4 linked regions of the Caenorhabditis elegans genome follow. The protein of the gene in region 3 interacts with the protein of the main gene of each other region in a pairwise test. Each region holds a gene or a part of one and is shown on either strand. Other genes may lie near its edges. The genes, in order: pho-11, tfbm-1, skp-1 and eif-2Bdelta.

What was found.
Region 1: the proteins of skp-1 (region 3) and pho-11 interact in a two-hybrid assay, tested with the Caenorhabditis elegans proteins (one study listed by BioGRID).
Region 2: the proteins of skp-1 (region 3) and tfbm-1 interact in a two-hybrid assay, tested with the Caenorhabditis elegans proteins (one study listed by BioGRID).
Region 4: the proteins of skp-1 (region 3) and eif-2Bdelta interact in a two-hybrid assay, tested with the Caenorhabditis elegans proteins (one study listed by BioGRID).

Annotation. Positions count from the first base shown.
Region 1 is NC_003280.10:9,930,250-9,934,933, forward strand, and holds pho-11 (Putative acid phosphatase 11), read left to right. Parts: upstream 1-1,599; 5' UTR 1,600-1,613; coding exon 1,614-1,706; intron 1,707-1,791; coding exon 1,792-1,986; intron 1,987-2,033; coding exon 2,034-2,127; intron 2,128-2,347; coding exon 2,348-2,430; intron 2,431-2,524; coding exon 2,525-2,614; intron 2,615-2,900; coding exon 2,901-3,108; intron 3,109-3,152; coding exon 3,153-3,328; intron 3,329-3,721; coding exon 3,722-3,862; intron 3,863-3,907; coding exon 3,908-4,048; intron 4,049-4,094; coding exon 4,095-4,115; 3' UTR 4,116-4,182; downstream 4,183-4,684. Other genes in the region: C05C10.2 (DNA2/NAM7 helicase-like C-terminal domain-containing protein), read left to right, coding at 1-82, 199-258; C05C10.3 (putative succinyl-CoA:3-ketoacid coenzyme A transferase, mitochondrial), read right to left, coding at 4,298-4,621.
Region 2 is NC_003279.8:3,853,639-3,861,176, reverse strand, and holds tfbm-1 (Dimethyladenosine transferase 1, mitochondrial), read left to right. Parts: upstream 1-1,884; coding exon 1,885-2,007; intron 2,008-2,697; coding exon 2,698-2,844; intron 2,845-3,023; coding exon 3,024-3,211; intron 3,212-4,050; coding exon 4,051-4,232; intron 4,233-5,213; coding exon 5,214-5,511; intron 5,512-6,765; coding exon 6,766-6,931; 3' UTR 6,932-7,016; downstream 7,017-7,538. Other genes in the region: guk-1 (guanylate kinase), read left to right, coding at 594-710, 887-1,025, 1,088-1,311, 1,378-1,493; T03F1.11 (EF-hand domain-containing protein), read right to left, coding at 7,022-7,254, 7,312-7,324. UniProt on the Caenorhabditis elegans protein: Probable S-adenosyl-L-methionine-dependent methyltransferase which specifically dimethylates mitochondrial 12S rRNA at the conserved stem loop. Also required for basal transcription of mitochondrial DNA.
Region 3 is NC_003283.11:11,643,872-11,650,627, reverse strand, and holds skp-1 (mammalian SKIP (Ski interacting protein) homolog), read right to left. Parts: upstream 5,148-6,756; 5' UTR 5,131-5,147; coding exon 5,111-5,130; intron 5,066-5,110; coding exon 4,909-5,065; intron 4,864-4,908; coding exon 3,778-4,863; intron 3,729-3,777; coding exon 3,632-3,728; intron 2,850-3,631; coding exon 2,722-2,849; intron 774-2,721; coding exon 654-773; 3' UTR 538-653; downstream 1-537. Other genes in the region: Transcription factor zip-10, read left to right, coding at 1-65, 117-425; Chromosomal passenger complex protein bir-1, read right to left, coding at 5,354-5,698, 5,743-5,865.
Region 4 is NC_003283.11:9,512,182-9,518,174, reverse strand, and holds eif-2Bdelta (Translation initiation factor eIF2B subunit delta), read right to left. Parts: upstream 4,352-5,993; 5' UTR 4,259-4,351; coding exon 4,205-4,258; intron 3,999-4,204; coding exon 3,861-3,998; intron 3,814-3,860; coding exon 3,747-3,813; intron 3,700-3,746; coding exon 3,397-3,699; intron 3,353-3,396; coding exon 3,135-3,352; intron 3,089-3,134; coding exon 2,582-3,088; intron 1,989-2,581; coding exon 1,842-1,988; intron 1,160-1,841; coding exon 1,004-1,159; 3' UTR 526-1,003; downstream 1-525. Other genes in the region: C50F4.8 (CPG4 domain-containing protein), read left to right, coding at 1-522.

The sequences.
Region 1 (4,684 bases), on a different chromosome or scaffold from region 3:
CAAACACGTTAAAAGACAAAGTAACAATGATTACGGTAGCCAACGGAGCGTGACTAACTCATTGAATCCAGAATTTGTTGGGGTAAGCAGGGCATTCATTATTTGCCATTTTTTAATGTTTAAAAGTTTATATCATCGCAGTAAAAGTAACTTTTACATACTGTAATCCAAACATTGACTGATCTAATCCGATAATAGTTTCAGAAATGGGATGACGAGACGTATGGAGATTGGCCCACCATCCAGAAATCAACATAAATATCCAATTTTAGTCTTCTACTAGTTGTTTTTACCGTTTGTATTCATATCAAATTTTCATGATGATCTTTTGTTTCCATCTCCAAGCTTTCACTTTTTGGTTGTTTTAATTTTTTTTTTCTGTTGAAATTGAGTGTTTTTTTTCTGTTGAAATTGAGTGTTCCATTTTTATATGAAATGGATTTTGTCTGTCTTGGAAATTCTTTTGAAGACATTGAATCACAGAAGAATGTTTAAACATTTTCAGAAATTGTACGGAAAAAGTTGGGACCAAGAGAATTATGGTAAAATAAAACTTGTAATATGTATTACAATTTAGAAATAAAAAACTATAAATTTTCAAAGTTGGTTTTAAGTGCGTACAATATAATAGCCATTAAAAAGATATAGAGTAACCATGAAGAAAAATTCAACTAATACCTTTATTTTTCTAATTGAGAACTAACAGTTCAAATCCTTTAATGGATACTTTACAAATTAACTGTTGTTTTTGTTGGTAGGACTATTCACGAACGAACTAAAAAACGCATTAAATGGCTCTGCCAACTTTAGTCAAATTTTTTAACAGATTAATGCTTTTTGCAAACTCTCGCTATGCATTGGCGGTGAGAGACGCAGATAATACTTTTTTCTCTGGACGTGAAAAACACAAAGGATAACCGTTTTGCCATCTGCGTCTCTTCTTTCACACGCTATTTTGGCGGTGGACGAGGAATTCTCCTCTTCCAGGATTTTCAAGGCCATTTGCTCACATTTCTCAAGTTTTCTTGTCCGCGAGAAAACATGAATTTTGAGGCAGCCAGCGAGCACGTGCCAAAAATTTTTGGTAAACTTCGCCCTGTGCCAAGACCTAATCAGGATGTGCCTAACGCCTGCCCAAGATCTGGAAAACGCAAAAAAATATATCTGGAAAAAATACTAAAAACTAAAAACATGAATAGTTCTGACAGAGACTGTTTCATGAATTTTGCAACATTCGATAAATGGTACTTTCAAAAGTGCTCAAAGATCACGGCCATGGTCACAAACTTTTAGATAGCATATATTTCGACTTTAGACCAGAATTGATAAAATATCCATTCGATAAGAAAAAATGTTGCAGACCTAGTTTGTTTACATATTCTTTCACACCAATTTTATGAGTTCAGTCTATCATCACTCTGAAAAGTACATGGCTTTATCATGTAATCACGAGAAAATCGAAACGCGGGATAGTTATATCTATTAAACTGACCATATTTTTATTCATTTTCTATCTGAAGATATGATTTTGAAACAATTTTTATGGTTTTTTTAACGAGCTCAACTCTTTAAATAGGTTGTTCTGATATAGGAACATTTGTAGATCAAAAATTATGATGATCTCAATTTTCAGTCTGTTGGCTTCAACAGCCATTTTGGTATTTGCTAATGGGCAGAGCAATGTCAAATTGGAGTTTGTTCAAGCGGTAAGTTATATGAAATCCTAAATGCCAAATTTAGTCCTCAGTGAAAGTTACTTGGGTAGTACAATTTATTTTTAATTATTTCAAGATGTGGAGACACGGAGAACGTGCATCTCAAGTTGATCAATACCCAATTTACGAAAAAGATTGGATTTATGGAGGAGGTGGTCTCGGAGAGCTGACTGCAATTGGAATGGGAGAAATGAACGAACTTGGATGGCTTATTCGTAAAAGATATGTTACTAAATTGAAGTTTTTGACACCAAAGTATGCGTCCAGAGAGGTATACCCTAAAAATGTTAGAACGTGCCAAAATATGATTATTTCCAGGTATATTTTAGATCAACTAATTTCAATCGTACCATTATTTCGGCACAATCACTTTTGTACGGGCTGTTTCCACCAAGCTTGTATGATGTCAAAAGTAGGTTGTCAAAAAATTGATTAAATTTTTTATGCCAAACGGTTCAAACTTAAAGCCAATATGACTTTTTCTGTTGAACGAATAGATAAATTTAGTCCAGTGATATCTTTACTTTTTAATTTTTCATATTGAAATTGTCTGCACGTCTCTTATAAAATTAGCAAAAATCCAACTATTATATTACCTCTAATGCATTAGTTTTGATGATTACCATATTCAGACGTTGACTATCCATACTCCCCACTCACTTGGTTCCCTGGATTCACGTTTGTTCCAGTTCACGTCGATGGTCCGGATCAGTGTGTATGTTGTAAATTTACATTGGTTCTCGAGTAGTCTTAAATAATCTTACTGCGCGTGCCAGTTAAAATTACAAAATTATTACAAACCTTTCCAGGCCGCTAGTCAGAACTGTCCATGCACAAGATACGATCTTCTCCAAGGGCAGATGTTGACTCTTCCGGAAGTTTTGCCAAAGTATACGCAGGTAAGGTTTGATTGAATTATACTATCATCGGTAACCGTATTCACGTTGTGATGGCTTTGTCGGTAACTATGAACAGGCGCCTAAAATGCCTGCCTTCCGCCTAGACGCTTGCCTACTAGTAGACCTACTGTCAAGTTTTTCGTGAACGATTGTTCATTTATCATTCGATCAAATGCGTAAAGCTACAATATGTGAATCTCAAATATTGTAGTTTAAATCCTGACTGCCTGAATGTAGAAAATAGACGGTAGGCAGGCACGTGCCTCCTCTGAATTTCAATTTTTAGGTGGTCCTACTTAACCGTCGTGTCGGTGGATATTACAACATGACATCTGGCCTAGACTCCTTCACAACATACCCAGATACGTGGAAATGCCAGAGAGCATATTTCAACAGAACTATGTACGCGAAGCTTCCATGGTACAATGAAGAACTCTACTATCAAGCCCAAGTTACATATGCTCCGGTTAAGGGATTTTTAGAGGGAAATTTTGGTTAGTTGGGACGAGATTAAAGTCTCAGTGAAGCTTGGTTTCAGAGAATCCTGCTGTCACTTCTTCCGGGCTCGATGTGGGTCTTGAAATCAAAAAAGTTCGATCCGGAGTTATTATCAATGAAGTTTTCAATCGTGCCAATGAAAAATTGAATTGTGCAGAGCTGGGACAAAACTGCACTAGCTATTTGAATAAGCTGAAATTCTATGGATATTCTATTGTAAGAGATTTTAAAGTTTACTCCATAATTTAAGTTCAAAAATGCATGATATCTAGCCACGATCTTACCGTAGTTGGGAATACGGTAGACTACGGTAGTATTACTGTACTTGACTGGAAGTTAAGTATACCATCATAGTAGGTAGGAATCTGTTCATCCCTAGCTACCTCTGCCTACCTCATGCCGAGGCACCAGTCAAGGCTTGTCGGAATGTAGGCAAGCATTGTAGGTAACTCTAAGAAATTGAAATATAAAAAAAAAGAAAAGAAAAGCTAGTTACTTTTCATGCGAATTTTTTCAGGATTTTCAGAAAAAAAAATTTTGACAAAAAAAATGTTTTTTTTAATTTTTGAAATCAATTTTCCAAGATCTCACAACAAATTCGTTTTCCAGCATGACAACAATGTGTACGGTGTCCTGGTTGCTCTTGGTATTCCACAAATCGCTAACACACTTGACGGATGGCCAGCATACGCAGCTGGAATATTTATGGAATTCCACAGAAACACGTCAACAAACGAGAGATTCTTCAAGGTATTCCAGAGAGAAACCAGAAAATTCGAACAATTAAATTTTCAGGTTCTGTACCGTGAAGGAGATGACACTCCGATTTCTGATGTGACAAGTCAACTTCCAATTTGTAATGGAGCCACCTTGTGTCCACTTGGAGCTCTTCAGACTTTGGCCGAGACACTGAAGCCACTTCCAGATATTACTACTGTAAGCTCTTGTTTCCAAAAATTTCGACTTTATAAAAAATTTTCAGCTCTGCAAAACTCCTCTATGAATTACTGGAACTGTAATTTTTGTTGTAACTCAATTTTTATATTTTTTTATGAACTATTTCATTAAAACTCTTTTTGTTCACACAATCCTAAACCGGTATTATAGGCAAAAGACAAAAAAGTAACAAACAACGGACTAAAGAAGTATTTACACATTTCACGGAAATTTGTCAAAATTGACAAATTATCCTTGATTAAGAGGAGCCTGTCCCATTGGCTTCAGATTTTCGGAAATTTCGAATTTGCAAGCGGTGAGTTTCTTGATATCATCTACAGTAAGATCCTTCCTGACTTCGATCAATGTCAATCCGTTCTTTGTGTCCACGTCGAAAACTGCCATATCAGTAATGATTCGGGAAATTACTCCTTTGCCGGTCAGAGGAAGTTCGCAGTGCTCTAGAATTTTTGGCTCTCCGTTCTTCGATACATGCTCCATTACAACGATCACACGGGCTCCGGGAGCAGAGACAAGATCCATTGCACCGCCCATTCCTTTCACCAATTTTCCCTGGAAAATTTTAGAAATTTATTAAGATGGAAGATTAAGCGGAAAAGTATATTTTTATGAAGT
Region 2 (7,538 bases), on a different chromosome or scaffold from region 3:
CAAACTTACGTTACTGCGGATTTTTCATCAATCTAAATTGCAATTGCCGTAGTTTTTCTTTAAAAATATATTTAAAACTAAGAATATCATTAAAAACACTTAAATAAAAATCTCGATTCCGCAGCAACAAAAATTTGAAATTACAGTACACTTTAAAGATGCACAACTCTTCGCATTTTATTAAAATTTGTCGTGTCGAGACCGGGTACCGTATTTTTGCAGCTGTGTAATAGCGAAACCAACAAAATCAAATTTTCCTTTCCATCAATTCCCCACTTCAAAATGTTTGAATTTTCCCGCCGCAAGTAAAACAATTTTAGGCCAAAAGCTTTCTCTCTTTTAAATTTCGCTCAAACGCGCTCTGCTGTCACTCCATAGCGCCGCTGGTTGAAAATAATAAACTTTTTGTGTTGTGTCACGTTATTTTTTTTGCGCGTCGAGTCTTTCTCGATTCTCTACTAACACTTTGTTCATTTTTAACAACAAAATTTTCGTGCCGCCATGAAGCTAACATCTGTCATATTCAACAGTTTCGGTACATTCAGAAAAGAAAACTTCTCGATTAAAAAAAAAATAATTCGATTTCGTTTCAGTTCGAAAAATGCCGTGCCGGCCGATTGTGCTCTCCGGACCATCGGGTGGAGGAAAAAGTACGATTTTGACGAGAGCCATGCAGGAATACCCAAATAGCTTTGCTTTCAGCGTTTCTCGTGAGTTTTTGGCAAAATTTGATTCCAAATTTCGAGAAAAAACCTCATTTTTGCTCAAATCTTAAATTTTTAATCACCATAAAAAATTTTTGAGTAATTTTTGTAAAGTTCCGGTATAAAATTCGTTTGTCTGGGCACATTTTGTGTATTTCCAAAAAAATTAAATAGTTTTACAGACACAACGAGACAGCCAAGAGCCGGTGAGGAGCACGGAAAACACTATTACTTCACGGAAAAGGAGAAGATGCAGGAAATGATTAAAAATAACGAGTTTCTGGAGTTCGCCACGTTTAGCGGAAATACTTATGGAACTAGGTTGGTTTTTGGAATCGAATATTTTTGGAACAGAACAAAAAAATTTATTTTTATTTTTACAGCAAGAAAACCGTCCTAGAAATCGAAAATAGCGGAAAGATCTGCGTTCTGGATATTGAGTTGCAAGGAGTTCGAAACATCAAGAATAGTCATCTCGACGCCAGATACATTCTGATCCGTGCCCCATCCATCAAGCTTCTCGAGGAAAGACTCAGAGCAAGAGGAACCGAAACCGAGGAGAGCCTCTCGAAGCGTCTTCAACATGCATCTGAGGATTTAGTTGAAAGTGAGCGTTTTTTGCCTTTTTTGAAAAAAGAAAAGTAATATAAATTTTAATTTAATTTGTTTTCAGTCGAAAAAAATCCAACGCTCTTCGACAAAGTGATTGTGAACGATGATTTGGAACGTGCCTATAAGGAATTCGTCGATCTTCTTCGTGATGATCTCGAAAAAACCTCCAAAAAATAATAAATTATTTTTTAAAAATTGTCTCTATTCAGTCATTCCTCCAATTTTTTCTGTCTTGATGAACTTGAGTGTCTTCTGGTTGTGGTAGGTACTCTTTATCTCTCTCTTTCAATACACCTCTTTCAAATTTGCTTTATTCCAACAAACTTTGTTCCCTTTTTTTATTTATTGCTCCCTCCTTTTTTTTTGCAATTCAGTTTTGTCTTCTTTAGTCAACTTCTCAAGTTATTTTCTTTTTGTCTCATTCATTTCATAATAATTATTTGATTTCGTATTAATACGTATTGAATACAATAATTTTGGTTTTTAAAAAACTGTTCCAAATGGCAGATACTATTTTCAGTGAGAATTCGGATTTTTTTAGAGAAAAAAATCTGAACTATTTTCATAGATGGCTTCTGCTTCACGTCTCCCGCCGCTCCCGGCACTACGAGATTTCATCCATATGTACAGGTTGAGAGCGAAGAAAATTCTTTCGCAGAATTATTTAATGGATATGAATATCACAAGAAAGGTTGGATTTCTGAAATTTTTTATTTGCAAAATTCCAAAAAATTAATTTAAAAATTAAAAATTTTCCGGTTTTTAAATCAAAAATATTACGGGAACTCAAAATTCTGAAAATGCGTACTACACAGCATATTTGACGCGCAAAATATCTCGTAGCGAAAGATACAGTAATTCTTTAAATGACTACTGTAGCGGGCTCGACAATTAAAAAAAAAATTTTTTTTGAAAATCGAGCCCGTAAATCGGCACTAGCGCTACAGTAGTCATTTAACTAAATTTTCGCTACGAGATATTTTGCGCGTCAAATATGTTGTGCAATACGCATTCTCAGAGTTTGTACGGTAATTTTAGTTGAAACAGAGCGTGCTCCTTTAAAAAGTGTGGTAGTTTCAACATTTTTTCTTGAAAAATTATAATTAGTAAGTGAAAATGTATTTAGATAAACAAGAAAAATACTGTAGTCTTTAAAAATTTTTAAATTTTTTTTGAAAATTCAAATTTTAAGTCCCATTTTTGCAACTAAACAACATTAAAAAATTTTTAAAAAATTCAAATTTTAAGTCCTATTTTTTCAATTAATTTTTTTTAACTTTTAGAAATTTTTTCCAACATTTCGAATTTTAATTCCCATCGCAATTTTTGAAAATTTCAAAGAATCAAATATAAAAATCTTCTATAATTCATTAATTTTCAGATAGCAAAACACGCAAAAGTGATCGAAAAAGACTGGGTAATCGAGATCGGACCGGGTCCTGGCGGAATTACACGAGCAATTCTTGAAGCTGGAGCCTCGAGGCTTGACGTCGTAGAAATCGATAATAGATTTATTCCGCCGTTACAGGTTTGTCATTTTTGGAAATTATAAATTATTATCAAAGGGCAAAGTGTGTGTGTGTGAACTGATAAGGAATCAAAATCATGATGACGGAGCGTTTTACCGGAAAAATGTTCTCGGAGAATTTCGAAATTAGTTTATTTTGAGGGAAAATGGAAAAAAAAAAATGAAAAATCGAATTTCAGCATCTCGCGGAAGCAGCCGATTCTCGAATGTTCATCCATCATCAGGATGCACTTCGAACGGAAATTGGAGATATTTGGAAAAATGAAACCGCGAGACCCGAATCTGTGGATTGGCATGATTCAAATCTACCTGCAATGCATGTCATTGGGAATTTACCATTTAATATTGCTTCACCGCTTATTATTAAGTAAGATCTGAAAAGATGTGTAGAAATTAGAAAATAAATAAATAAATAAAAATGTTTGCTTAAAATTTGGATAAAAAACAAAAAATCCAATTTATCAACAAAAAACCAAACAAAAAATCATTTAATTTTAAACGGGACAAAACGGATAATTTTCAAAAAATATTAGAACCGAAGAATTTTTGTTGACTTTTGTGTTTATTGGCCCCAAAAAACCAAAAAAGCCATGTTTCTTTAAACAAAACCCCAGAAAAACAAATAACAAAAGCCCAGGTACCAAAAAATAATAAAAAAAATTGAAATTTGCGAAATACCAAAAAAAATCCAAAAAAATAATTTTGATGCTCGAATTTATTTAAAAACAATCCTGAAAAAGTGAAAAAATGTTTGAGATCTTTTTGTGGTCTAGAAAAATAAAAAAAAATTTTTTTTCGTCAAAATACCAGCAAAAAAAAAAACAAAAATTAAAATTTGCGAAAAACCAAAAAACACCAAAAAAAATTTGATGCTTGAATTTTTTTTTCAAAAAAAAAACAGTGAAAAAGTAAAAAAATTTGTTGGGTTTTTTTTTTTGGTTTTTTTGGTAAAAAAACCGAAAAAAGTCCCAACCCTGGTGGGAATTCAAGCCTGCAAACTTATATTTTTATAGTTCCAGATTTTCAAGCAAAAAAAATATTTAGCATTGCATGCTTTTATTTTAGAACCCTTTTTTTTGGTCTAGAAAATACCAAAAAATACCAACAAAAAAAAACAGTTTTGGTCAAAATACCAAAAAAAAAGCCTAAAAACTCCCGGCCCTGTACGTGATACAGAATTTTCCGTGATGTATCAACCATTTCTAGGTATCTCCGTGACATGTCATACCGACGAGGAGTTTGGCAGTACGGTCGAGTTCCACTAACATTAACTTTTCAACTGGAAGTCGCCAAACGTCTGTGCTCTCCGATCGCCTGTGATACTCGGTCTCGTATCTCTATTATGTCTCAATACGTGGCAGAGCCTAAGATGGTTTTTCAGATTTCCGGTAAGTTTTTTTGCTCAAATTTCAATCCAAGAAAATTCAAATTTAGGAGCGTCGTCGCGAAAATTTTAGTTTTCCTATGACCCTTAAACACAACTTTCTGGACCCCTTTCGGTATCCTTTTCCAAAATTTATAGGTAGTAGGGCAGCGGAGTTAGAGCGGAGTTACAGCGGAGTTTTAGCAGTCGATGAGAAGTTCTCGTCTGCAAAATGCCCCTCACCGCCTTGAGAACTTGAAATTCCCAATAATTAGAAGCATTATGTCATTACACGGCAGCCGGCAAAAATTGATGTCGCGTCGGCGACATTAAACATGCGCGGAAAATTAAATAACGACTTTTATTGCAACAGTTCGCATGCCAACGCTACATTGTTTTTTGTCGGCTGCAGGTTATCTATAGATATGTTCTCCGAGTAATCATTATTAGATCCTTCGGATGGAAGGGGCCACGGGTCTCCGTACCCGTCAAAGCCCAGTTGGAGAGGATCTCAAAAAATCACGCAACTCCTCGAAGGCATTTTAAACCAACTGAGCAATGCTCCCCGTCCCTTAATTTTGGAAAATGATTCTGAAAAGGATCCAAAAATGAAAACCAAGATGAAACCCAGAATTTTGAACAATTTGAATCAAAGATGTCAAAGATGAAAAATCGAAATATCGAGAAAAATGTTTAGAAAATCAAAAAAAAAATGCTGTAAAACACAATTTGATGAGAAAACGTGATAAGAAAATGCCCAAAAATTCAAGCAATTCTCAAAAATCGAAAAAAAAATTTTTTTGAACTAAATAAACTTTTGGATTTTACAGAAATATAAAATCTCTCTTGATCCTAATCAAAGCTAAATACAAAAATCGAAATTTTTCGTCAAAAACACGAAATCAAACTGAAAATTTTGTTTGATTGCTTTATTTTTAATTTTAGGAAAAATTTGAAAAAAGGGAAAAGTAATTAAAAAAGTTGCGAATATCGAAAACATTTTCAGGCTCATGTTTCGTGCCAAGACCTCAAGTTGACGTTGGAGTTGTTCGTTTCGTACCACGGAAGACTCCTCTAGTGAATACATCGTTTGAAGTTCTCGAGAAAGTTTGTCGCCAAGTGTTCCATTACCGTCAAAAGTATGTAACAAAAGGATTGAAAACTCTGTATCCTGAGGAATTGGAAGACGAGCTTTCAGATGATCTACTGAAAAAGTGTCGAATCGATCCGACGACAACGTCGATTCGGCTCGGAATTGAACAATTTGCGGATCTTGCTGAAGGTTATAATGAGCAGTGTATACGGTAAGACACTCTGACAGATTTATGTGAATCGTCGCGAGACCCAACAAAAAAAAGTTGAGAACCTTTAAATGTGTTTCTTTTCTGAAAAAAGTAGCAGCTGACTTTGCGTCAAGCAACTCAGCCGTAGAATAAATATTTGAAGAAAAAATAAACTGAAAATGTTCTCTCAAAATTTGGAAGGATGATTTTTTTACACGACGATCTGTCGATTTACGCAGTCTGTGTACTCCTCGAGGAGAACTGCGAGTTAATTGTGTTCAAAGAATATCACATTTTTCGGCTGAAATTTTCGAATTTTGATTTTTCGCGCTAATCAGGTTTGTATTACGGGAACGCAACATATCTGACGCGAAAAATATCTTGTAGCGACAACTACAGTACCTCTTAACTGACTACTGTGGCGTTTGTGTCGATTTACGGGCTCGATTTTCTAAATTAATTAAACTCATTTATTCATCGATAGCATATTAAAATTAAGCAAAAATGAGAAAATAAAATCGACACAAGAGCTACAGTAGTAATTTAAAAAATTACTGTAGTTTTCGCTACGAGATATTTTGCGCGTCAGATATGTTGCGCGATACGCATTCTCCGAGTTTTGTGATCCCGTAATATTGAAAATGCAAAAATTATTTACTGAAAGCGCGAAAAAAACCTAAAACCTGTACAAACTTCTTCTCGGGGAGTACACAATCGACACATGATCTCAATTTTTAATAACTTCCTCGTGATAAATGAATGATACGCACACAAATATATACTCAATCCTCCAAAATGTGCACTCGTGAGTGAAACAATTTTGAAGAAATCAGTGCGAATTGATCTCTCGTGGCCGGGAAAGTTTCGACAAATAGACAGATTATTCGATTTCGAGCATCAAACACCAAAACACAGACCTTCTTTCAATACTACACAAACGTCACATTTTGGTATTTTTCGCCGAAAAAGTACGGTATCAGGTCTTGACACGACATATTTTTGTTTAATGCAAAATAAAACGGAGCAACAAAAGTTTGAAACTACAGTACTCTTTAAAGGCGCACACGATTTGCATCTAATAAAAGTTTTAAACATCGAGAATGATTTCGAAGATATTTAACGATACATTTTCAAGAACTGCAAATTAGAAATTTCTTGAAATAAAAATGCCTTTAATATCTTTAAAAATAGTATATTTCACAATACCAACTAATTAAAAATTGAATTGAAGATTCTGATTCTTTTTAGTTGAAATTCAATAATTTTTCATTTCAGATATCCGGGCTTATTCCTCTATGACTACACGAACAAGCTGCATAATCTGGAAGATTTATCAAAAGAACCCAATGCTCTTCCACCTCCTGTACCCATCTTTGCACCGGCTCCGACAATTGACTCGGCGGACAACACGTGGTCGCTCAAGAATTTTAATTGTTCATAATTTTGTTATATTATAGATTGTTTATTGTTGAGATTGTTTAGATTTGTTATAAATTTTGGAAAGATAAAACATTAAGAAATTGAAAGAATTTTAGGAAGTGACTTTGTTGATGTACTCCTTGAACTCATCGAAAGTGATTTTGGAGTCTCCGTCTTTGTCGGCCTCCTTGATGACTTGAATCAAAAATTTGAGGTTCGTCTTGAACACGGGATCCTTCTTATCGTCCTTCTCAGCTCCCAACAACATGCAGATCACATCATCTTTGCTGATGAATCCAGACATATCCTTGTCGTGGAGAGAAAACATCTCACGGAGTTCATGTTCTGGAAATAATTAGAAAATTTATAGAATTTGGCAACAAAAAAAAAGATAAAGCTCACCCCAAGTAGCCATGACGGAAAGTTCAAGACTGAGCTTCACTCGAAAACCGTTGGAGGCGGGTAGGAGGTGCCGAGTGGGTAAATAAATGGAAAAGCATCTCAGAGAAAAAGAAAAGAGAGAGAATGTTTTGTCAATTGATTGTTTGTTTTACTAATTTGAATTTTCGAAAGTCGTTGTTTGTAAGTGTCAAACATTGACGATTAGCAAATGAAAACAGGACACTTTT
Region 3 (6,756 bases):
TCAATCTGCCTGTTTTGCCATTTGAAAGTTCTGCTTCTTTGGGAACATCTACCACATCCAGCTCGGTAAGCATATCATATTTTCTCAAAATCTTGTAATATTATTTGTATTTTCAGAGATGCTCTTCAACTGAAAGTTCTGCTGCTCCTGGTAAAATCCGTCGTGGTCGACCACAACAAGAAATTGCAGATGGACAAGATGCTCACAGTCAAAAGAAGCGTCATCGCCGTCTTTATGCTCGCCAGTACCGTGCTCAAATGCGCCAAAAGGTGGAGAATGTGAAAAGTCTTCATGATGAGAAGGAGCAACTCGAGTTGGAAGTAAAAGCTCTCCGGCAAGCAGTTAGTGGTCTTCAACAAGAAAATGCTCAAAAAGATTTCTTGATCAGTATTTTGCAACTCAATAATCAAATCAACCATTCCTAAGAACATCTTCAATATTCCCCTCTCCCGAATCCTCTTTGCCATAATTTTTCAAATTCGCTCATTCTTTGCTGACATAATTTGGTCTTCTTTCGAAATGTTATTAATAAAAATTGACACGGTTTTGATTCATCTTTGTGCAAACATCCAACTACAGAAGAGTTACAGAGATTCTTTCCAAAAAAGAAGTTGAGAAAAAATAACAGAAAACAAATAAAAAATATATTAAAATTAGTCGCGTCGAGACCTCTTTGATTCTCCACGGGAGTCTCCACCATCCCCACCTCGTTTCTTTTCTTTGGTGTGCTCGAAAAGTGATGACAATCCGAAAACATCTTGATCCTTCTCGAACTGAAATAAAAAGGTTAACATTTTGTAGTGATTCATAAATGCACAGTGACATTTAATGTTTTATGACTCATTGATAAGTAAATTTTAGAAGTAGTCACAGTCATTTTAAGAGCATCTTTTATGCAATTTCCTTATGAAATCTTTAGAAATTAGGTTTCAAAAAAATAATTCAGTAAATACATATATTTCTGAATACTACGGGTCCACACACTCAATTTCGCAGATGGAATTTTCTAAATTTCAATAACGTTCGATTCACAGTTAAACTCAATGCGTATAAACTATTTCGTTGGAATCAAATGCACTTTGACCAGATTATAGCATTTTCTACGCGTTCTGCAACAATTCGATCGTCACACGCAAACATGCCAAATCGGCCGCCATCGTGTCTGTCCTGTAATTCTAGACGATTCCGCATCGTCATCATTTTCTTGATAAGTTTATAATAAACTTTGTAAGAAATTTCGAAACTATGCCATGCACAATCACGATTCGGAAATATTGTCATGAAATATACTAGAATTATCATTGTCATTCTTAAAATGGCATGAAAATCGTATTTTCTGTCATCATCATCATCTAATGTTTTGCCCTTTGAACGCTGCTTGAACCAATTTATAAATCGACACGGATGATCGTTGGCTTATCCGCTTACTGCTTATCACTCAGTTTAGATGTTAGTCTACAATTAACACCATTTCGCCGAAAAAGTTTACCCAGCTCCCCGAGTTCGCTGCAAACAATTCCGGAAAAAAAATACGTTTCCTGTTCAAATCTAAACTATGAACATGGTTTAAACATTTGAAAAATTGGTGTTTTCAATATAGTAAATGCCAAATTTTTCAAAAATTTCAATTTTTTGATAAATTTCGATTATTTCTACAGGTTCGATCCCTAGAATTTCCAAATACGAATAAATACTATAAAAACTGGGAGGACAACTGTTTATTTCGTCCACTTTCATAATAAGCGAAAACTAAAACTAAGATTTTTTTGTTAAAAAATGCAATACGTATTTTTAACTACAATGCCACTTTGAGAGTGAAATTTTGATTTGAGCTGTTTCATTTACACGTATATTCGGAGCAAAAAGTTATCATTTCCTAAAAATAGACCGAAATATAGTCAACACCGCTCTAGTTCTGTCTAGTATTTCAGTCATTTCAACTTTTAGAGTAAATCACATGTTGGTTCTAATGCTTCTGGCTTGTTGGTGATAAGACGTGATATTTCGTAAGTACTGATAGTGATTGGGTTATGAAAGATGCTCGCAAACACCAGCCTCCGTAGACACAACTCGATAAAATGCTGATCGTTCAGCTCGAAATGTGACTAGAAACAGTAAAGTAATTTAATACATTTTATGTGTTAAACTGAAGAGAATCTGCATCCCGAACTTAAGTAAAAAGAAAAGCTAATCGGCTATGATAGAAAAGATATAATTAGTTTTTGTTCAATAAGCTCTGAGCATTGTATAAAACTACAATATTGATGAATCCATAATTATTTATTATAACTCTAATTAGAATATCTAAAATTGGTTAACTTTTACAATCAAATTAATCGTGAGTTAAAATACATCAATAGTTCATTTCGACCATAAAGAGAATGGATGAAAACTGAACTTTGACATATTTTAATTATTTTAATCTTATTTTATCAATAATGTCAAACATATTACGCACGACAATTGAAGCTCATAAACCAAGAATGTAAAGAATCTTTTCTACTTCCAAAACACACTGCTGTGCGTGTCTTTTCGGAATGACGTAAATTAATGATCCATTTATGATAATGACCGCACAAATCAACGAATTGGTTCAATTCGTCGTTACTTATCAGTCAATTTTTGACGCTCATCAACAACGAGCCAGCGCCCAAATTCTCAAAATTCCCAGCTATTTTAGTAACGTAGTTAAAATTTCTGACAACAGATCAACTGACTAACCTGAACAGGTCCAGATCCACGACTCGAGCCCTCTGCTCCTGAAAATCCTTTATCAGCTACAAACCGATTCTTCTGTTCGATGATCTTGTCCAAATCGCCACCATAAACATCGTTGTCGAGATTTTTGCCTGCAAAAGTTTTATAAATCGTCATTTCTTCCTGTTTTGACAAAAATACAATTATTTTCGAAATTCGTATTTGCATAACGTCATTTTAATCGTAATGACTGCAGTACTACAAACGTCTTATCAAATACTAGGCACCTAAGTTGTGATTCTATTTTTAACGACAAATGAACCAGAACGGACATGAAAGTCAAATACATCAGTATCATCAAAGAGTTTTGTGAATTCCAACACCAATGAATTAGAAAAACAATAAATTTTAGAATGTCACAAATTCCTCAGTTCAGACATACATTAGGAAATCATTTCAATTTTGAAATATTAAAGAACTAACGGTTCTAGTTATTTTTGAACGTTTAGATTTTTATGGCGGTTCGAAATTTAGAAAAAATGAATCAATTTTGGCGAATTTTTCGTGTCGCAGAGGTTCAAAAATGATTTTTTTTGAATTATAATCTTTTTTTAAATTTTAATATCACGTAATATCGTCAATTGAGGTACTTTTTAAGCAAACATAGGTAATCAATTTCGGTAACCTTTCGATTTTAAATGTACCTTAGAATAGCATAAGATAAACTGCCAAAATAAGATTTCAGCTAAAATAATGTTTTTTTTTGAAATTTTAAAACGCCATAAAACTTTTTTTTTGAAAAACTTCTGGAACGTTTCATTATGAAATTCGTTCATTTTAGAGCATTGTGGGTATATATATATATATACATTCAAAATACCTAGACCCGTTACTAATTTTAATTTATATTTGAAAATAAGCAAGAAAAACTAACTCGGTCGATAAACGTGCTGTTGAACACTGTCACCGCCACGCCACGCAGCATCATAAGGATTGTAAGTATCATCGTCCATTGCTCCACTGTCGAGTCCCTGAAAAATAAATATATTAGTTAAATTTTATCGAAGAAGGAACTGAAACCTGGGTTTTATCAAACAATCTTTGATCGAACTGTGGTTCGCCAGTTCGTTTCTGATTCGTGTCCGGCAAACCAAGCACAATTTTCTCCGAAATATCTCTTTCACGCTCTTTGCGAAGCTTGTCAGCTTTATCTGGTCGTGAACGAGCAATATTTCTTTCTTTCCTGATATCGTCGAGACGATCACGTCGAATTTCTTCGCGAACTTTGACTTGTTCATCATCTTCATCGTCCTTTCTCCGCATCGCTGATCTTTCCTGGCGGGCTTTTGCTGCGGCTTCTGCCATTTTAGCCTCTTGCTCAGACTTCTTATTTTGAGCAACGCGTCTTTCAAGCTGAGCACGTGTCTCAACCTCTTCACGAGCTTTTCTATCAGCAATGTACAAAGCATCAGCAAGCTTCGCAAAGTTTTCATTAATATGAGTCTGTTGGAGACCACGTCCATCAGCAGCCAATCGTTTGTCCAACCCAACTGTGAATCCTTTTGGATTTTTCCAATTTGAAATACATGGTGGAATCTTCCAATCGTTTTGATCTTTAGCTGTCATTTTTCTTGGAGGAGAATGCATGACTGGTGCCGGTGGAGATGGTGGTGCTCTAGGAATCTTCTGATTGATTTTGAACTTTGGTGGTTCCATCGGATCTTTTTGTTCTTCAACCATTCTGATGATGCGCTGTTGTGATCCAGCAGCTCCATTCTGCTGACTTGGAGTGTATCTGATATATTGAGCAGGTGCTAACTTGTCGGCATGACGAACAGGAAGTGCTGAGGCTACTTTTGAATTTACGATTTTTTCCAAAGCCATTCTTGTCTTCTCCGTAGCATCGATAACAGCGTCATCGTCTGGTTTCTGAATATCATCATCATCCTCGTTCCACGTCTTGGCTTTCATATCATTAAGCTTGGAGTAGACAACTTTATCCTTAACATGTCCGATACGAGCAATAGCATCGTGTTGTAACTTTCCATCAGTTCCATATTGCAAGGCGAGCGTATTTTCTGGCTTTCCTCTCATATCTCCAAGACCTAATCCGAGAGGAAACTGAGCAACGTGAATTTCAGGGAACGCTCCGCCATCGCCAAAATCCTGGAAAAGAAAAATTAAGAAGAATATTAATATTTTCAATCTCACTTCAGGCCCTCTTGGTCGAAAACTGGTCCGTTTTCCGTACGGCGGTGGTTCCTTCGATACGAGTGCGGCGGATGGTTCGTTATCGCGCCCACCAAACCAAGGATCTCGTCGAATCTGTGAAGCTGCTTCGTCTGCCGCCACAGGAGCAGGAAGGATACTAAAAAACATTGGTTTTACATGATAATCAGTGAAATACACTCACTCTCGTAGTTTCATCGACATCCTGATGAAATACTGTCCTGAAATTGTTTTTTTAGACAAAAAAAGAATCAAATACAAAACTGGAAGATATTGTAGTGCCGATGAAACACAAGTTATAATTTCAAAACAAAAACATTGAATGAATAATAAAATAATGAATTAAGTGTTTATTGAACAGTGATTAAATCGAGTATATGAGATCAAATCAATAATTGGATAAGTTGCAGTAAGTGATGTAGAAAAATTATTTGCCGCGGCGGCTGTTAGATTTTGTTGTCGATGCTGTGTTCGGTACTTTTTTCAGCTGATCGAAGAGAGCATCAGAAGAAGAATGATTAGACAAATTATTTATCATCATCTCATGCTCAAAGAGTTTAGTCATAATCATGGCGGTTTGTGAGAGACGAACGGTATCGTTAATAGTTAATTCCGAGTCATCGAGCTTTCCAATCCGTACAAACTCGCACGGTTCATCACGTTTCGTGTGCTCGTACCACGGATCGTCTTCTGGGTCAAAATCAAGTTCCTTGTTGCAAAATGCACATTTGCCAGACTGAGGACCGGTGCAGTAAAATCCGGCTTGAGCAACCTAAAACAAGAATAATTTTATTTAAAACACGAAAATGGACAAACCGCTTGAGACGTGCATTTTGCATCCGGGTCTCTATCATATTCGAAATTTTTGAATGTCATCAAGCGATCTTTGTAGAATGTGAATTTTGCCATATCCGACTTTTTTTTGGTCCCGGGTGCCATTTTCTGAAATCAATGAAAAACAACTAGGTATCTTAATCTTGAGGAATCTATTTCGAACAGGTAGAGATTAAAAATTCGAAATACAGTTAAGAAGATTTGAACTAAAAACCACAATTCCAAAAAAATAAGTTGAAAGCGTTGAAATCGATTGATAAAAGGAAAAGATAAAACGAGACTTACATTGAAAATAATAAAACTTCGTGGCGTATTTTAATAGATTTCGAAAATGAAGTTTAATTTCATGAAATTCGCGCATCCACGCCACGTGGTTTTATTTTTTCAGTGTGTATTTAAATATAAATGAAAAACAAATCTCAGAAAACATTTATCGAATAAAATGTTGAAAAATCAATAAATGTAGCTCGCGTCGCACTGACGAATTTCGCGCTGAAATATACAGCCACCAAGAAAGCTAGGCCACGGCCATTGGTCAGTAGAGCGCACGTGCGCGCGTACCAAAACCTCCAAGAAGACAGGAAACTCAATGAGTTTGTTGAAAACTAAACAAATTAACAATAACTTTGATTCAATGGAAAAAGATTCTATTAACTTTTTAACCGGACGGTGTCGATCGAGCCTGCGGCTCAACCTCTCTCAACTGGCTAAAACTGAAATTTACCGTATTTCCTCTATTAAATAGTTAGGCACCTCTATTAGTTTTGCACCTCCATTAGTTTTGCATCTAAAATCACTAATCGAAAATTAGTTTTGCACGCTCTATTAGTTTTGCACCTCTAATAGTTTTGCACCCCTCCATTTGTTCCCTATTTTTAGGAATTTAAAATTTGCATTATAAAATCGTTCTAAAAATTAGGAAAACTCTTACAGACTTGGTATAACAAGTCAAAATTGGCAAAATATGAGTACAATTCGGACAATTTTTGCGTATCA
Region 4 (5,993 bases), 2.1 Mb from region 3:
GCGATTCGTGAGAAGTTCCCATGTCTTATCAAAATGAAGCCAAATAAGGAATGCGTCAAAACATGTACTCCACATCACAATGCCATCTCATCCATGACTGAAAATTTCAAGAATCTTGTGCTCAGCGGGGATACTACAAAGGCTGAACAATATTTGGCTCAAGGATGTGAATATATCACTTGTACTCTTCATTGTGATGTTCCAACAATTGCACATGAATGTGATTCGGAGACTGCTCAACTTGTGATTGACCTAACTCGTAAGTCATTTGCAAGCATGGAAAAAATGGCACTTGATACGAATGCTGTTGCTAAATGGCCACAAGTTTGTGCTGATATCAAGACATACAGAATGCCAACCCCATCAATTCCACCAAAGAACACTGATGTCGTAGCGCAAAGCAATTCAGTCGCTGATCAACCAATTTCACATCCAAAATTGGTACAAGCTCCACTTATCAGAGCTTCATCGATTCTGTCGATCTCTATTGCTTCCCTCGTTCCATTTGTTCTTTTCTTTTAATCTTTGGAACTCTGGTTTTTCTGTATTTGTAAATAGTTTAGACATCTAATTTAGCTCAACAACAGAACACGACGGGTGATTGTTATTATTTTTCTAAATTTTAAAAAGGAACAATAAAAATTTATGAAAACATGATATTGGTGATTTAAAACAGAACAAAAAGAAACAGTTAGAGGGCACATGGAAGCAAAAATACTTAAATCTGGATACCGTTTTGAAAAAATGGACTTATATATTAGCCGTATCCTAAAAATATTTTTCCCAAATTTTCAATTAATTTCTTTCCAAAATCATGAATCTTAGAAAACTACCAAAAAAACAGTTAAATTATTAAAAACAAGACAACGGGAAATTTTTCAAAACTTGGTCAGAAATCTCTCACGGTACGGCTACTACATAAGAACCGAAAAATTGAATCAACTAACGTAAGACGACAACAGATTAACCCGTGGTTTCAAATTAATTCTAGTTTTTAGATTGATTAAGCCATATCAGTCAACGCCTTTGCCTTGAGAACTGCTGGAGCTGATGTTGGTCCAAGGATTCGAAGATCTGTTACGACAGCAGTTACAAGATCCGATTGGATGCACTCAATATTCTGACGGCCAAGAAGAGCGACTCGCTGATAGACTTGCCCCTGAAAAAATATAATTGTGTTTGATTTTGTTATGACCAGTGTTTTTTTATTTTAATTATTTGAATGTGAAATACCGAAATCTGCGACCTTTCTTTTATAGACCAAAAAATACCCGAAACTACCAAATTTCGTAATGAGAAGTTCTGAAATTTCCAAAAAAAGGAAGTTATACCAGTTCAAAGTTTTGAAAAAAAGAAAATAAAATTATTTTTTCAAAACTTTGAACCGCAATACTTTTTTTTGGGAAATTTTCATAACGTCTCATTACAAAAAAAAAAGCAAAATTTCAGATTTTGGTGTTCCACCTTTAAATTTGTATTCAACCAATCTAAAACTCTACTACAATAAATTTAGATGTTTTAATGATCGATCATTAATTTTTTTTCAACAAAAATTCAACATCTGACTTTACAGGTGCAGATTTCTAAAGACAGATCAAAAGGTTCATAATATCCGTTCTTTGAGTTCTTATCATAACTTTGCTTTTCAAAATTTTTCAGTACATATTCATTGACCGATCTCGTGGTCATCAGCATAAATCAACGTGCCATTTAACAAAACCATGTGACTAGTCGACGTGAGAGTACACGATTCATCCCATCAAATCATTGAACAAATCAAGCGATAAACTATTTTTTGTTTCGGTTCATTTCCCAATAAAAAGGTAGAAAAAATCACAAACCTTATCGATGAATTTGAAATGTTCAGCAACTACAATTACTGGAATATTGTAGTGATTAGCACACAAAACTACAGCCAATGCTCCTTTTCGTGCAGCAACAGCACCATTTGCAAAAATAGCAGAACATCCGAGAATGAGAACTCCACTCTGAAAATATCATTTTGAGATGGGAATTTCACTGTAAAATTCTCAAACAGGTCCCAAATTCCGAAATGCCACAAAAGAAAAAAAACATTAATTGATGTCTAATTCTTGTTAATCTTTTCTTTTTAATTACCGCTCTTTTTCAGCCGTGCCGCACTTTCGGTTTTTTTTTTCCGATTTCGACGAAAATAATTTTTTTGCGCTGTTTTCTAAATTTTAATCTAAATTTTAAATATAATAAATGTCCAAAAAAATTTTTCATATCAAAAAAAAATGTAATTAAAAAATATTTAACCCTTCGGAGATTCTACAAGAAACACGTTATTTTTTGTTCTTTAAAAATACGAAAAATATTTTTTAATATTTATGATCGTTTTCTTATTAAAATTCAGAAAAAAACCGCAAAAAAAAAAAGAAGTTTCGTCGAAATTGGAAAAATTCGATTCTATTGGGGGAGTTTAGAGACAAAAGCGAGACAATTCAAATTAGGAGATTAGCAAAAATTTAAAAATCGTCTGTCTTTTTTTTTCAAATTTAATGCTCTTTTTGGCATTTGAGACCACTTAGAACCGATACTGCTTTAAAAAAAAACTCACTGCCAGGGACGCCCATGAAGCTCCTTTCATTGTGACGTATTTGACATTATATCCTTGATCTACGAAACTCTTCACATGCCGCGTACCTCGTCCATTGGAATTTGCATCAATAACAGACAATTGCATATCAGGAATTTGTTGTTTGGCTTCCAGAAGAACATGATTCACAACAGGACACCAATCGAACACGACAACTTTTTTGAATTGTTGAATTTTGCGAACAAGCAGTTGACTGATGGCTTTGTACGCGTGACAGAAATTTATAGCCAAAGTATCTTCCAGATAAACTTGTAATTCTTCTTCACACTTCATATTAGTGCTTTCCTCAAGTCGTTTGATTGTTCTTTTCAACAATCGAACTGTATTCCCAAGTGCAAATGGCAATGGCCAGTGACCATTTTGAGTCATATGAGCAAGTTGTGGACGAATAGCCAAATCGAGGTCGTGACCGAATGTGGAAGCATTGATATTATTCTTTTCTCGTTCTACTGTCCAATCTCGCAGAAACTAAAATAAAATAATTATACAGTTTGATTGAAAAATAATATTTTACCTCTTTGAAAGCAGCAATAAATTGAATACAAACTGTTTCAACATCTGGAATTTTTTCCAATTCTGCTTTAGCCATAAGCGTTAAGAATGCAGGATGAATGTGTACAAAAGACGTCGCATCATCCAATTGGGCGATTGCTGTTGATTCAATTTCTGATGCTACTGCTTCGTCAGAATCAGATGCAGACGGCAACGTTTTCGTTTGATTTTTTGGAAGATCTTCAAAAGAACAAATCTAATAAATTAAATTATCAAAAACTCACCAAATGTGACCACAGAAGGCATTATAACGTTATGAACATGTCGAACATTTTTCTCAACACCAGTAGATTTCTTTATCGCCGGCTTTAGACTTCCATTAATCTTCACATCTTCAATCACCAAGGTTTCCATTTTCGCTGCAAGCTGTTCTGTGGTTTTCGTGAGCTGTGCATTTTCTTCGATAAGTTTAGTAGTGGATTCAGATGGAACTGCTGAATGCTCTTTTGGCGGTTTTTCCTTCTTTTGCCCTTGATTTTGAGTGCTCCCAGCGGCGGCGGCGGCTTTATTGGCTACAGATTTTTCAGCTGAAAAAATTAATTTATTTTTTAGGAAAAAAAGATAAATAAGATACCTCTCGCTTTTTTCTCAGCTGCCTTGGCTGCTTTTCTCGCTTTTTTATCTTCAGCAGTCACGTCTTTCTGAAAATTATTAGATTTATTGCTTAAAATTCTTATGAAACACTTACGTGATACTGATTTTTGTCTTCACCTTGAGCTGGCTCTTCTGCAGTTGTTGGCGGAACCACTTGCTGGTTATTTTCACTTTTTACTCCGAGAATCATTCCAAGTAACTTTACTTCGTTGTTCAGCTTTTCGAAAGTTTCCTGAAATATTGATGCAAAGTCTAATGGTTTCTGAGTTAACGACATAGATAAAATGAGATAGATTGTTAGTACTTTGAAATGAAGATTATTGTGAAGTTCGTTCGCGGCGGCAGAAACTTTCAGGACGACGAAACCCAAAAAATTCTCAAGTGCAACAAAAATTGAGTAAAGCGTTGAAAACACAATTTCACAATAAAAAATCAAACCTTTAATTTATCAGCAGGATGCTTTTTGTCAGTATTAATATTTTTATCGCTCATTTAAACGAATATTTACAGACGAAACTACAAGAAAATATTAAAATAAAGAGAATAAAAGCTGGTGTCCGAACGCTTGAAATGAAACACGAGAAACGCGTCATGCACGAAAAGTACGTCAGCAATCTCTGTTGGCGCATTATGTGCGCGTTGATTTATTTTTTTGTTGTATTTTTGGAAATCGACAAATTAATTTAATTTAGAGAAGAAATTTCAATTCTTGTAACAGGAAATCATTAAATATTCTTTAAATGAAAGTATTAAACATTTTGATGCTATGCGTAGTGCCACAATGCAAATTCTAAGCACTAATTCCAACAATAACAACAATGCATGCATTTTATTCAAGAATTCAAAATAACTGAACTAAAAAATACTATTTTGAAATTAAAAAGATTATATACTTGTCAATACTGACTCGTGTCAGGAAATCTTTAAAAAAAAGCCGAATACTCAGTTGCTCATCGTGTAACTTATAGGATTAACGTTATTCTCCTGTCGGTTAATCCATCTTACAATAGGCATGTTCTGTCCACAACAAATAATTTTCTTAACAGTCTCGATGCATCCCTGTCGATAAGATTTGATAATAATAATAGTTGGAAGCGGATCCAAAACCGGATACAAAGCAACAGCATGCCCAATTATAGGATGTTTCAAATTCAATTCGATATTCAGCATTGGAGCTGTGAAAAATACTCCGGCGGGTACATACATGAGAAGTAATGGTATGGCCGTTTGAACGACAAGTGCCTGGAGTAACTGGTTCTGAAGGGCTCTCGAAGTTTCAGATATAATACCAGTGCTCTTCAATTTTTTAGATATACACCTATAGCATTTTATACCAAAAAAGAGCACGCTACAAAATGAAGATCCCTGGAAAATTTAGTTGTTTTTTTCTTAATCCGTATTATTTACCACAATGATCAGTATCACGACGACCCCTGTGAATGATTTTACATCAGGAGCTGTATTTCCAAATTTATCTAAAGGCCAAAAATTTGCACTCATATATGCATAATCGTCGATATCAATACGATAGTTTTCAAGTAGATTAGCCCTGAATAATACTTATTTTAGAACACAGTCAACCATGATTCTCACCTAAAAAATGATCTTCTCTCCGAAGTTTCTCCATAACAGTAAAAGCAAATGAATCCCCATAGAATGCTGCATACAATTGGGAACCAGTATGGGAGAAGCTGGCCAACTCCCGAATGATATTTTCGACGGAAGTTTCTGAAAAAAAGTGCACACTAAACACTTTGAAAATGTGTCAATGCTCACGTGTTAACTGTACCGTAACGGTAAAAAAGTGTCCAGCAAACAGTGCAATTGAGAATCCGAAACAAGAACAATATATCCCTGATTTATTCGTTTATTTTCACAAAATCTACACATTAGAATCTTACATATTAAAAGTTGACCAATTAAGTGACTAAAATCATAATGACCTTTTGAGTTTTGAGCAAGAATACAAACAGGTGAAATTTAGAGTGTCAATTCTAAATCACATAGACATTTAAGTTCAGTAAACTAATTTTTGATAGTCAGAGAACATATATAACAGAGATCTAAAATTGGAAACATTGAAGTTTTAAAAAGTTTTTCATTACTCAATAAATTAAGCCAACCCTGCCTTAATTCAATATTAAAATAAATACGATGAAACATGCATTTAGAAGTTTTTTTTTTCAGAAAACAAAGCTTTGGAAACTTGAGAAAAGAATCATCTCCA